Linked DNA regions of Drosophila melanogaster. The protein of the gene in region 1 interacts with the protein of each later gene in a pairwise test. Each region holds a gene or a part of one and is shown in the gene's direction. Other genes may lie near its edges.

Region 1 (4,993 bases):
AGAACGCTCGCATGGCTTTTGTATTGCGCCATAAACGTTTCGCTGCTCGTAACGCCACAACGCTCGACGTTTCGCAGCGGCTTTGCTTTCGCTTCTCTTCTCGCGCGTAAAGCGGTCTCCCCAAAAAAAAAAAAATAGAAAACAAAAAATATAAAGGAAAACCCCCTCCGTAGACAGACAAAACTCAAAGTCTCCAACGACTCAAAGCGCCTCAGTCGCTGCCGCTCTGCCGCCGTTTCTGTCGACGCCGCTGCCCGCGCTGGCAGCAAGAATTACCAATTACACGAAATTTTTATACTCTTTTAAAAATTTCGTTTTATTATAATATTTATTATCGTGGCGCGCAGTAGTGTCTGCGGAACTCAGCTCTCCACTCTTTGGAATTTCGGCCCTCCGATTCCGATTCGGATTATACGATTATACGACTATACGACTGTAGTGCGGCAATACGATTCAGTTTCCGATTCGCCGTGTTTATTGTTCCGTTTCGGCCGCCGGCTTATTGTCACTTAAATGTTATAGATCGCGTAAAATATAATAAAATTGTGTGTGAAATTTAAAACCGAAAAAACTGTCAAAACACTATGGTTTATAACTCACTGTGTGCGGTTCGTAAAAATTAAAAAGACATAAAGTTGACATCGTAAAAAGGTTCTCGCCTCTCCGTTCCAGACTTCGATAGTTCTACCTGCAAAGTGTTTTATGACATTTTAAACAAAGTAATTAAAGCAAAACGTTGGGAGAAAGCATTTCTCCGGCCACACACACACTCACGCACTTGAGAAGTCGTTAAAAGCCGCAGGAAACTCACTCTGCCATAAAAATACAAGAGTGCCATTAAAAAAGATCGCGCGCCTATAAATCACACGTACGAAATCCCGCCGGCACGACGTCCATTCGAATTTCCGCGTAATTGATGACCGCATTTTAATTGCTTTTACAACAAATAAAAGATACACACACCCCAAACACACACATGCGACACACACACTTGTGCCACAGCTGCAAATACAACGCAACCCGAGACCATATGCAAATTTAACAAATTTCGTTGTGAATTCGCCAGCTTCGAGCGAAAAAAGTAACAGAAACAGAAAAGCTGCAAATACAAGCTGCTCGCCAAAAGTTCGCTAGAGAAAACTTGAGAAAGGTAACAAAATGCATTTCACTTCTCGGAATCGAGAAAAGTAGCTTAAAGTCGGGCAGCTGGCAAAGTTTCCGAATTCTGTCTCACTAACTCTATCTAAAAAGTACTAACTGTTGGCCATCTCATATAGTACTGTAAAAGTAACCCACATACTAACTCGTTGGCACTGGCAGGGAAATCTAGCTGAAAAATATATAAAGCATTTGGATTATATATTTTTTTCACTTGAGTTCTGTATCATGCTACCCGAAAGATTTATGTTCAATCCAAACATATTCAATTTGGTTAATGTTCTTTTTATGGTTTCCGAGTAATTTTTATAAACATGTTATATTTTTTGTTTTGCCATTTTTAATTCTTGTTTATCACATTGGACGCCAAGTTTATTTTTGTTTTTAGTACCTTTTAATTCGATTAATTTTGTTAGTGATTTATATACTAAGTCCAATGTAGTTTGCATTCGATTATGAAGTAGAAAAGTTAAATACAGAGACGGGAGATGTTCATTAAAGACAAGTAAATTTTAATAGACATTGATACAAATTAAATTGCTGTGTAAATCTTATGAAAAAGTTAAAGAAAAAGATATTTTTAAAATGCTATTTCTCACAGTGTTGAATTATAAAGTCATTCAAGTTTAAGATTTAGGTTGTGCTTACAGAAGTAGTCGGAACTTTTGTTTTATTATGGCTAGAAAGCGCTCCTCTCCACGCTGAATTCAAACAAAATTTGTTAAAGTCACACAAAGAGGAAACTTTAAATTATAAAACGAAATACTCAATCTAGCCATTAACCAAACGACTCAGATAAAGAACCCAAATCATTCGAACTCAGAAATCTCCGAAACTAAAATAGAACAACAAGTGGACTAAACGAAATTCCGAAGATCCGATCCTCGGCCAGAGAGCAAAATATGTGCAATGTCAAAATTTGTTTTCGATAGTATGCTGCCAAAGTATCCACAGTTCCAGCCGTTTATCAGTTCGCACCACTTAACCACCACCCCCCCGAATTCGTCATCTGCAGCAGTTGCCGCCGCCCTAGCCGCCGCCGCCGCCTCTGCATCCGCCAGCGTTTCAGCCAGCAGCAGCAGCAACAACAACAGCAGCAACACGATCGCTGGAAGCAACACAAGCAACACCAACAATAGCAGCAGCAGTCCAAGCAGCAGCAGCAACAACAACAGTAATCTCAATTTGAGCGGAGGATCCCTATCGCCGAGCCATTTGAGCCAACATCTGGGCCAATCGCCCCACTCACCCGTCTCCTCATCGTCGCCCTTCCAGCAGCACCACCCACAGGTGCAGCAGCAACACCTGAACCACCAGCAGCAGCAACATCTGCACCACCAGCAGCAGCAACACCACCACCAATACTCCTCGCTCTCGGCCGCTCTTCAGCTACAGCAGCAACAACACCACATTAGCAAACTAGCCGCCGCCGCAGTTGCCTCGCACGGACACGCCCACCAGCAACTGTTGCTAACGCCCCCGTCAGCGGGCAATTCTCAAGCGGGCGACAGCAGCTGCTCCCCATCGCCCTCGGCATCCGGTAGCTCCTCGCTACACCGCAGCCTCAACGACAACTCTCCCGGGTCCGCATCCGCGTCCGCCTCCGCATCCGCGGCCAGTTCCGTCGCTGCTGCTGCAGCCGCCGCCGCCGCTGCGGCTAGCTCCTCGTTTGCCATCCCCACCAGCAAGATGTATCCGTACGTGTCTAACCACCCTAGCAGCCATGGAGGGCTCTCCGGAATGGCCGGCTTCACCGGACTGGAGGATAAGTCGTGCAGGTAAGATAGATTGCCCTGTTTAAGTATGGGATAATGCAGATTTTTATAAATCGGGATGGGTTTTATGTCCAATCGTAGTAAAATGATCTTAAATGACCCTAATAGGAAGTGCAAATATAAAGTCAATGACAAATGATCTATACTATCTAATATGATATTCAAATATTTGGAGTGCATTGATAGAACTTCTCAGACAGTATCATATTTTAAAATATATGCAAATTTAGTATGACCATTAGCTTTACCTGGCTTCAAAACCTTTAAGAAGATGTTTCCGGGGTTGAAAATACAAAAAAAAAGAAACACTCAGCTCTTCCAAGAACTAATTTCGCGTGCTCTCAATTTGGCGAGCGGAAATGCCAGTCGAGACCTTCAGTAAAATCTGCAAACACTGCAAAACCGCAAATCCGTTTCGAATGCGCTCTAATTATCGGGTCTCGGATCCTGGGACTCTGTCCATTTTCCTCTCGGCCACCGGCCATTCATATTGAATGGCCATAAAGTCGGAAAATTAGAGCAGCCTGTGGTGGCCGCTGGCAATTTGTCGCCGGCCACAAGATTCGCACGCACGCTGACCTTCCGCTGCGGCCATTTGCATATTAGTACTACTGTATGGGCACTCCATGTGCATGTACAGTGAACCCTGCTGTGCGTGGGCGTGTTCGGGATTAGTGTGCAATTAGAGCTAACCGCAGTTTGGTGAAAGGGGCATGCAAATGGCCACCTCATTAGCATTTGACTTTAGTACGGGCGCTGGAGTTGGGAACGTACTATGAGAGCAGGGATCACCAACAATAATGGCTACTTTCTCTCTCCCACACCCACAGCAGGTACACGGACACTGTCATGAACAGCTACCAGTCGATGAGCGTACCTGCCTCGGCATCTGCACAGTTCGCTCAGTTCTATCAACATGCCACAGCCGCCGCATCCGCGGTATCCGCGGCCAGTGCCGGCGCGATCGGCGTGGACTCGCTGGGAAATGCCTGCACACAGCCCGCCTCCGGCGTGATGCCAGGGGCAGGGGGAGCGGGCGGAGCCGGTATCGCCGATCTGCCCAGGTATCCCTGGATGACGCTTACAGGTGAGTCAAAACTCGATACTCGATAGTGCGGAGATATATTATACATAAGTAAAAAAATAACTGCCAGATTCGGACTCTTTGTGAAAGACTTCGGATCTGAATGTGAGTGCCAAATTTGATAAATCTTGAAAGTTATCCGATTTTTAGAATTGAGAATCACACATATCCCAATACAAGTTTATCACACTGAGCCAATCAATCAGTCTTTTAAATTAAGAGTCTGTCTATCGTATCTACTGTGTTCTATATATCATGCCAATCATTATAAAATCAGAAATAATCCGTGCACTTCAGGGAATGTATATCGTCTTAAATCAAGAATAAATTGCCTTCAAGATCTACAAAGCGATCTCTTAAAATTTTTTGTGTACATATAAATCATGGCCACTTACACTGAAATCAAAAAATCAAATAAAAAATTGTAAGAACTTATATTGGATTGAATTATTTAGTCGCTATGTTAGGTTAAATACTATAATTAAAAAATTTAAACAGCTAAGTTGTTTAACAACCCGTAGACTTAAACCAGGTTCGAACTGATTTACAAATTGTATGACCTAACAAAAAGCGTCCAGTCGAATTATCGAATTAAATTTCCCAAGTGTAGTATTTGGAATGGTTGCTGCGTACCTTTTATAAACAATAGATAAACGTGGCGCAAACGTTCCCCAATAGCATTCCCATTTGCACCGCCATTTCGCCTACAATTCCAATTCGTAATGAACACTTTGCGGAGCACTTCCAAGTCGTTTATTTCGCATAAGTCTTCCAGGCGATTCGAATCCGTAAACGAAATGAACGAAGAGCTAAAAAGTTGGCAGTAAATAAAAATGAAAATAGTTTGAGAAATGCTTCTCTTGTCTGTCGTGTTATTTGGCGTCGATTTGTAATTTAAATAGCCTCAAGGTTGCCCCACACCGACAAACGTATAGCCCAAAATGCCGACCAAAAAACACTGCGATGTGCCCCGCGC
Region 2 (4,710 bases), on another chromosome or scaffold:
TTCAATCTTGTTGCGATGCACCTCCTGGGCATCACGCGTCGACGGCAGCCGCGAGTCGTGCAAGAAGCCATATCTGTGGGAGCATCAATGGCATTATTGGGATTTTTTCTGGCGAATGATTAATATTACTCACTTGTCTGTCCTGTGGTAGATCTCGAAGGTGGGATTCTCCCAGGAGTCCACCACATTGCTGGGATCCAGCCCGAGTTCGTAGCGCCGGAAGATGTCCTCGCGCTCGTCCTCGGCCCGCTTGACCAGCGCCTCCTGCTGTTCGCCGTCAGTCATTTGGAGCAGGATCAGGATTTGGCGGGTGGGGGAGGGGATCGGGGACAGGAGCAGGAGCCGGATCCGGAGGAGCAAGTGGCCAGAGCTGGTTTCTCTGTGCTCTCAGTTGGGGAGCGGCTGCTTCTGAGCTGACTGGGCGATAGCGCGAAACTTTGATAAAAAAAAAATGGAATGGAAAAAATAACACACAAAAGCATTAACATGCGAAAGCGATCCACAATAACAACACTCGTATACTATATAGCTGATGAGCGAATGACGCACACGAACATTAACTATTGTATATATATATATATATATTCAAATGCAGTGAAATCAACATGATCTTTGTTTTTGGAGAAGGAGCGTGGCATAAATGACGTGATGTTTCACCCATATTTAGTGCAGCATCAAAACATAAAGCCATATAAGACTTGGTCACTGATCTAGAAAAACGCCCCCTGATCTGCGTTGTGTGAGTGTGAGTGGGCCAGAAATGTGTGGATCTGCATGCGCCCCCGGGTTTTTGTCGCCTATTTTAATGCGAAATGTGCAATCTTATGCTTTATCGTTCGTACACTTCCTGTTTTCGCTGCGATTTGTTGTATTTTGTCAACACAGACACATACGCACACACGTAACACACACACACACAGACGCTCCGACGAAAGAGAGTGTTCTGGCTTTCACTGGCCACTCTCTCCGCGTTCCTATGGTTGAGTTTAATTAATCGCGCCGACGTTCGTTTACCATTTAATTTTGAATTGCCAATTCTTATTATCCGCACTGATCGGTTATGTTTGGTAACTAGTTTTTCACTATTTTATCTCGGCTGCATGTTTCCGATACATTTGGGGGGCGACTGAGTGTGTGTGAGGGCCAGAGTTGCCAGACTGATGTAATTGCCGAATAACGTAACGTAACAAGAGTACCAGGGATGCGAGCCAATATTTAAGCGATACTTTAGCGTAATGTTATACGAGTTTAAATTTTAGTTGAAATGTTTGTGATGTCAATGTACAAATATGTAAAATGTTTATCTATTTAAAGCTGCAAATGAATGCTCATTTATAAATATTTAACAATGATATTTATTTACTTATTATTTAAAACCTATTCAGTTACTTAATTGCGACAAGTGGCACTTAATGAATTAAAACATTTGTGGAAAACATTTTCACTTCAAAATTTATTTCTTGATAACAAAATCGGCTTTTTAATTCAAATATAATTTTTGTGACTAAATAAGCAGTGCTGCCATACATTCAACTGGAAAACATCGTCAGCAACAGAAGGATAAGTAATCGCTTGATCGATAGCGTTATCGATGTTTTCCCAGCCATCGTTCCACCACTAGCGCCTCTCAAAACAACAAAAAAACAGCGGCAGTCGGACGCGGTTTTTATCATCGAGCGCGGTTTCTTTGTTTTAGCGCTCGAAAATTGTCGAGAACTCTCGTAAAAAATACACTGTACCAAATAACTAAGGAGTGCATGCTAATTGAACAAGCAAATGAATTAAGGTGTATATCAAAGTGAAAAGAAGTCAAACATAACCGATTTTGTTGGCGGCTTTCTTTTATTTTTGTTGAGATACCGTGTTTAATTTCTCCAGTTTTATGCAAACACATGAATAACATAACAGTGGAAATTTCTAAGAGTGCATTGTGAGATAAAAGTAAGCAAATAATTAATATTATGTTTAACATAAAATGCAACCCTCAACAGCGTCCTTTTTAAAGGTGTGCGTTTATATATATATATATATATATATATATATATATATATGTGTGTTTGTGTGTGCGTGTGAGTGATTGTGGATTTTGTGATGCAAAAGAAAATTGCCGCGTGTAAATTTTTGATTTTCAATTCGAGACGAGCAGAGGATTTTTAAACTGCAGCTCTAGCATTTACCGTTAGGGCAAGAGTAAACACATTCAACATGTTGCAGTCACTAAAAACTAAAACAAAAGCAAAGCGGATCACTCTCTTTCTCATTCTCTCATTCGCTCTCTTTGAGTTATAAGTGTTTTTGCCGTGTTTTGTTTTGATTTTTGCACATACACGAAGACATCGAGAGAGGAGAGCGGAGAGTTTCTGCTCTTTTGATTGTTGTTGCATTGGCCAGCTAATAAAATTGTGCCGTTCTTGTTGTTGTTGCAGTTGGATTAAAATTCAAAGCATTGGATAAATGCTAAGTTGAAATAACAACAGTAATAACAAATGGAAAATAGCAAATAGCAAATCAAAGGAAATCAAAATCAAGTTGGATTATCAGCACAGCTTCTGGGTAAGTAAGTTAAGTCTCTTATCGCCTAATTAGTTTATAGCGTTTTAGTTTCGTGTGGGTGGCTTTTTGCATTTCAAAACCAGTTCTATTTCGGGTTTTCATATGCCTTTTTTTCTCTTCTCATGTTGATAAGACCTTGAAGCGCTTTTCGTGTAGAACTTCGCATGATTGATGTTTTTATGTTTGAGGGGAGCTTGAGTCAAAGCTCGGCTTTTAAAAATGGATCAAGACCAGTTTTTCGAGGCTTTGGAATTGCCAAATAATTTCCTAAGCCCAAACTGCAGTTTGTTGTGGTTGTTGCTATTGCTTTTGCTTGCATCGCCTAGAAAATGATGGATGCACACACCTCTCGCTCTACCCTTGCCGTCCCTTTCGCACATCCAGAAGTTGTCGGTTGAGTTTTTATGGCCGTCTCTTTTGTCTCTCCATTTATTTGCCTTTGTCTTTGGACTGATGACTTTGTTTTTGCCCTGTCTTTGATTCTTTCTTTCTCTCTCTCTGCTTCTTCTTCAACGTTGATCCTTTGATTTCGTTTGATCCTTGTAGGTAGAAAAGATTGAGTGTGGGAGAGATCTACCGTTGTTTCGTTACTTCAATCTATAAGATACTAGAATTTTCTTTTTTAAAACCAATTCGAGAAATATTTCAATATATATTTTTGGGGAAAGAAGAATTTTAATTCTTTCGAATATTAAAGAGTTTTTTAAGATTGATTTATAAATTTCTTTTGGATCTTATTATTTGTATTTTGTATACGAAACATTCCATCTTATATTATTATCGTTAGTTTTTTGTAACTCCAAAAATCAAAATAAATATTCAAATAAAGAATTCTGTATTGCCTTTTGTTTTAATGCCATTATGCAATATATGCATTTATTGCTTAAATATTTTTAAAATTATTAACAGCATTCAGCTTATGTCTTTTGAACATTCTCCTTACCAATATCAGATGCATTCCAACCGAAATGCGACGAAGGGCATGCATTTAAACACAATACCTGGCATACTCGACATTTTAAATGCTTTTCATCACTTGATAAACAGTATTATTTGCCTTTCCTTTTTTTTTTTTTACATACATGTATCTCCCTCTGTTCGCCGCCGTTTGTTTTGCCCCCGTCTTCGCATATGTACGTCTTCGAGTGGTCTAACATGTAATGTATGCCTCGTCTTTAGTTTCTTGTTCGTTTCGTCTTTGAGACACCGGAAGTTGTTGCTAGGCTGAAAAAGTTGTGTGTGTTTTTCAGCAGTGTCTCCAGCTGTATCTTTATCTCCCTCTGGAGCCGTATATCCATCTCTATCGACGAGCAAGTGGCGCGTGTGAATGACCCAATTAAGCTGAAGATAACCCGGCCTAAGCTTCGACTTCGTAGGTGGCTTAAAACAACTCGGTTGGCCAAGAAGAAGCAGCCCCAGAACCTGCCAGACGAACATACCTACTATGGCACAACAAAAAAGAGTTCACATCGAATATATCGAATGCGAAGTTTGAACTGTAAACAGGTTTACTTGGCCTCACCTCGCTTCGTCTGCTGCAGTTGGCTGCTACAGGTTTGCCTCCGTATCGCGAACTGCGCGCCATGGAATTTCCTGTATTCATTCATTTTTGAATCCATATAACATAAGCCTTATTTCACTTAAGTTAAAAAACTACAATAAGAAGAAAATAAATGCATACCATTTCAATCTTAAAATTCTTGAAATAAAAAAAATTTCATTCCGGGTGTGAATTTGTGGATTTGATTAAATAAAAAATAACTGTAGTATATATATGTTGATGTTGAAATTTTTAAAAGCTCCTCCATTACTTTCTCCATTTAAGAAACAGGGTAATGTTTTTCTAAGGTCAGCTTATGCAAAGAATAACATATGCAGTAATCCCAGTTTAAGTTATCAACATTTCACTGTACATGGTTTAGTGTGGTGCTTTATTTTGTCAGGCCAAACTCCTTTTCAACATTTTTGTATTAAATATTTCGCACCATGTTCTGCATTTATTCGGATACGAGAGATCTCCCGAGGCTCCAGTCTTCAACTCCATCTCCTTCTGTGCGTCTGCCATCTCTGTTCGACGCTCTAATGCCGTCCTTTTCTGTGGCATATTTTGTCGTTGAGTCAGTTGGGGTCAATGCTGCTGCTCAACTTAACTCTTTG
Region 3 (4,036 bases), on another chromosome or scaffold:
TCCGCCGGCGGACACTTTCGCCTAACCAAGCCAATCCAACCCATCCCAATCCAATCCAACCCACCCGATCGCCATAAAGGGTATTTACTGTCGCTGCCGCAGAGCCTCGCTTGACGACTTAACCCAAGCGGTCGTTTCGCGTCCATTCTCCGGACGGAGTCAAAGACAAAGGCCGGCGGAGGTGGACAATAGGCAAGGTTGTTGCTTGTGGGTAGGGTTTGAGCTATGAGCTATGAGCTGTGAGCTGTTAGCCCTGAACCCCGAACCTCGAGAATTGAACCTTTCCCGGGGCAAGAAGGCTTGCATGTGGGCCTTTTCCAGGTCGGCCAGTAGGTAGAGTTGTTGCGATGCGGCTATGCCGGGCGAGTTAATGCCAATGCAAATTGCGGGCGCAATATAACCCAATAATTTGAAGTAACTGGCAGGAGCGAGGTATCCTTCCTGGTTACCCGGTACTGCATAACAATGGAACCCGAACCGTAACTGGGACAGATCGAAAAGCTGGCCTGGTTTCTCGCTGTGTGTGCCGTGTTAATCCGTTTGCCATCAGCGAGATTATTAGTCAATTGCAGTTGCAGCGTTTCGCTTTCGTCCTCGTTTCACTTTCGAGTTAGACTTTATTGCAGCATCTTGAACAATCGTCGCAGTTTGGTAACACGCTGTGCCATACTTTCATTTAGACGGAATCGAGGGACCCTGGACTATAATCGCACAACGAGACCGGGTTGCGAAGTCAGGGCATTCCGCCGATCTAGCCATCGCCATCTTCTGCGGGCGTTTGTTTGTTTGTTTGCTGGGATTAGCCAAGGGCTTGACTTGGAATCCAATCCCGATCCCTAGCCCGATCCCAATCCCAATCCCAATCCCTTGTCCTTTTCATTAGAAAGTCATAAAAACACATAATAATGATGTCGAAGGGATTAGGGGCGCGCAGGTCCAGGCAACGCAATTAACGGACTAGCGAACTGGGTTATTTTTTTGCGCCGACTTAGCCCTGATCCGCGAGCTTAACCCGTTTTGAGCCGGGCAGCAGGTAGTTGTGGGTGGACCCCACGATTTTTTTGGCCAAACCTCCAAGCTAACTTGCGCAAGTGGCAAGTGGCCGGTTTGCTGGCCCAAAAGAGGAGGCACTATCCCGGTCCTGGTACAGTTGGTACGCTGGGAATGATTATATCATCATAATAAATGTTTTGCCCAACGAAACCGAAAACTTTTCAAATTAAGTCCCGGCAACTGGGTTCCCATTTTCCATTTTCCATGTTCTGCGGGCAGGGGCGGCCATTATCTCGCTACAGCAGTTCCCAAATGGTTATGGCTGGACACCCCTGCCGCCGCTCCAACGGGGTGGATGAAGCCCCCAAAACCCGAAAGTCATGGCAGCCATGGCAGTGTGGGGCTGTTAAACGTGCGGCATAATATTAAGACTTCATAAAAGCGCAAATAATTCGCTGGCAGGCGATCGATAATACATACATACAAATATATAGTGGGATACACACACTCTCTGCCGGCAAACACACACCACCCGACCCGACTGAGCGGCATAATGCCATATCATTCTTGATGAAGCCGATAAAATCCCATTATTAAGGGGGCCCGCCCGTCCCGCTCGCTCCTGCGGAGCAACCGCCTGCGGGCGGGCGAGACAAAAGATTCGCTCATCCGCTATGAATACCAAATCGGAACTCTCTCTCTCTCCAGCTCGGGAGTGCCATGGCCAGCATGGCCAGGACCTCCTCATGGTCCTGCCGAGCAGAGAACGCGGCTCCATCCCGCTGCTCCGGGTCCTGCTCCTCCGCTTTGTCCCGCCTCGTTATCGCCGCTCAGCACCGAGAGCACAGCAGCGCATCCACTCTCAGCACCGCACGATTAGCACCGTTCCGCTCAGGCTGTCCCGCTCGCACCTGCCTGGGTCGCTGCGATTGGCCGCTCCCAGCGACGGCGGCCATTTGCCTGCAGAGCGCAGCGGTATAAAAGGGCGCGGGGTGGCTGAGAGCAGCACACTCGAGCTGTGACCGCCGCACAGTCAACAACTAACTGCCTTCGTTAATATCCTCTGAATAAGCCAACTTTGAATCACAAGACGCATACCAAACATGCACGGATACCGAACCTACAACATGGAGAGCCACCATGCCCATCACGACGCCAGTCCCGTGGACCAGAAGCCCCTGGTTGTGGACCTCTTGGCCACCCAGTACGGCAAGCCCCAGACACCGCCTCCCTCGCCAAATGGTAAGTTTAAAGATAAAGCCGAGCAAACGTGACGAGTTACTTACACCCAATCTTTCCTCTGTCCAAAACAGAATGCCTATCCAGTCCGGATAACTCCTTGAACGGCAGCCGCGGCTCGGAGATTCCCGCCGACCCGTCGGTACGCCGCTATCGCACCGCCTTCACCCGTGACCAGCTGGGTCGCTTGGAGAAGGAGTTCTACAAGGAGAACTACGTGTCCCGTCCCCGTCGCTGCGAACTGGCCGCCCAGCTGAACCTCCCGGAGAGCACGATCAAGGTGTGGTTCCAGAACCGCCGCATGAAGGACAAGCGTCAGAGGATCGCCGTCGCCTGGCCCTACGCAGCCGTCTACTCCGATCCCGCCTTCGCCGCCTCCATCCTCCAGGCCGCCGCCAACAGCGTGGGCATGCCCTATCCGCCCTACGCCCCCGCTGCTGCCGCCGCTGCTGCCGCCGCCGCTGCCGTGGCCACCAATCCGATGATGGCCACCGGAATGCCCCCGATGGGCATGCCCCAGATGCCCACAATGCAGATGCCCGGACACTCGGGACATGCCGGCCATCCATCGCCCTACGGACAGTACCGCTACACGCCCTACCACATCCCCGCCCGCCCGGCGCCGCCACATCCCGCTGGTCCTCATATGCATCATCCGCACATGATGGGATCCAGCGCAACGGGATCGTCGTACTCCGCCGGTGCCGCCGGCCTTTTGGGCGCTCTGCCCTCCGCCACCTGCTATACCGGACTGGGTGTGGGTGTGCCCAAGACCCAGACGCCGCCGCTGGATCTGCAGTCGTCGTCATCGCCGCACTCCTCCACGCTGTCGCTCTCGCCAGTGGGATCCGATCACGCCAAGGTGTTCGACCGCAGTCCAGTGGCTCAATCCGCTCCATCAGTTCCTGCTCCCGCTCCACTGACCACCACCAGCCCGCTGCCCGCTCCAGGCCTCCTGATGCCCAGTGCCAAGCGGCCTGCCTCCGACATGTCGCCGCCGCCGACGACAACTGTGATTGCGGAGCCCAAGCCGAAGCTCTTCAAGCCCTACAAGACTGAGGCGTAAGCCCGCGATCCACACACACTCTCTCCCCCCCCCCCATGCTCCCCCAAAAGATTGTACAAACTAGTCTTAGTCAGCCTCATCTATTTATTCCCGAAGATTGTACAGATTGTAGAGTAGCTAATTGTAGTCATAATTAAGGCGCAAAATCAAATTAAGAAATAAATGCGAAAATAACATTGAAAATTATACGACACACACTGTTTATTTGAACTACCTGGTACCTGGTATTATCTACATATATATCAACATATATTCATATACCTGAGCTGAATCGCTTTTATGGACCTGGCTCTCTGGATTAGCTGTGGAGAAACCTGGCGGGACAGCTGCGCTGCTGACTGCTGACCTTCCCAGGGAAACTGTGGCAAATCGAACGGAAGAGCGGCAGAGCGGCAGAGCCGCAGAGCGTGCCGAGTGTCCTTCGGAGTGGCCACCCACAATCAGGAGTAAGGGTTCCCGATGCGGCACCGGCGGGGAAGGGAACAACATCCACGGGGGATTGGCACAAGCCAATGGCTTATTAATGCGATCCGAACGGATCCAAGCGGGAGGGCCCATTGCAAATGCAGAGCCACCCCGCTGGGCGGCGACCTTGGCGAGGAGTTGGGCCCACTCCCTGCCACGCGTCAGGTTGCATTGCCAATGGAATCAATTTCGGTGTCCTCGGATTGCATTGGGCTCGGCTAATTAATTGTCACCTCACCCGTTGAGTGACTTTTTTGTTTGTTGGTCCTGGCC

Evidence for each region. The genes of interacting proteins can lie anywhere in the genome.
Region 2: the proteins of abd-A (region 1) and mam interact in a protein complementation assay, tested with the Drosophila melanogaster proteins (2 studies listed by BioGRID).
Region 3: the proteins of abd-A (region 1) and eve interact in a protein complementation assay, tested with the Drosophila melanogaster proteins (2 studies listed by BioGRID).

The regions. Positions count from the first base shown.
Region 1 is NT_033777.3:16,825,078-16,830,070, reverse strand, and holds the start of abd-A (abdominal A), read left to right. Parts: upstream 1-1,965; 5' UTR 1,966-2,067; coding exon 2,068-2,936; intron 2,937-3,763; coding exon 3,764-4,020; intron 4,021-4,993. UniProt on the Drosophila melanogaster protein: Sequence-specific transcription factor which is part of a developmental regulatory system that provides cells with specific positional identities on the anterior-posterior axis. Required for segmental identity of the second through eighth abdominal segments.
Region 2 is NT_033778.4:13,989,552-13,994,261, forward strand, and holds the start of mam (mastermind), read left to right. Parts: upstream 1-1,651; 5' UTR 1,652-1,941; intron 1,942-2,426; 5' UTR 2,427-2,553; intron 2,554-4,710. Other genes in the region: RN-tre (uncharacterized protein), read right to left, coding at 1-73, 134-285.
Region 3 is NT_033778.4:9,977,319-9,981,354, forward strand, and holds eve (even skipped), read left to right. Parts: upstream 1-2,000; 5' UTR 2,001-2,096; coding exon 2,097-2,235; exon of another isoform or gene 2,236-2,266; intron 2,267-2,306; coding exon 2,307-3,298; 3' UTR 3,299-3,477; downstream 3,478-4,036. UniProt on the Drosophila melanogaster protein: May play a role in determining neuronal identity. May be directly involved in specifying identity of individual neurons.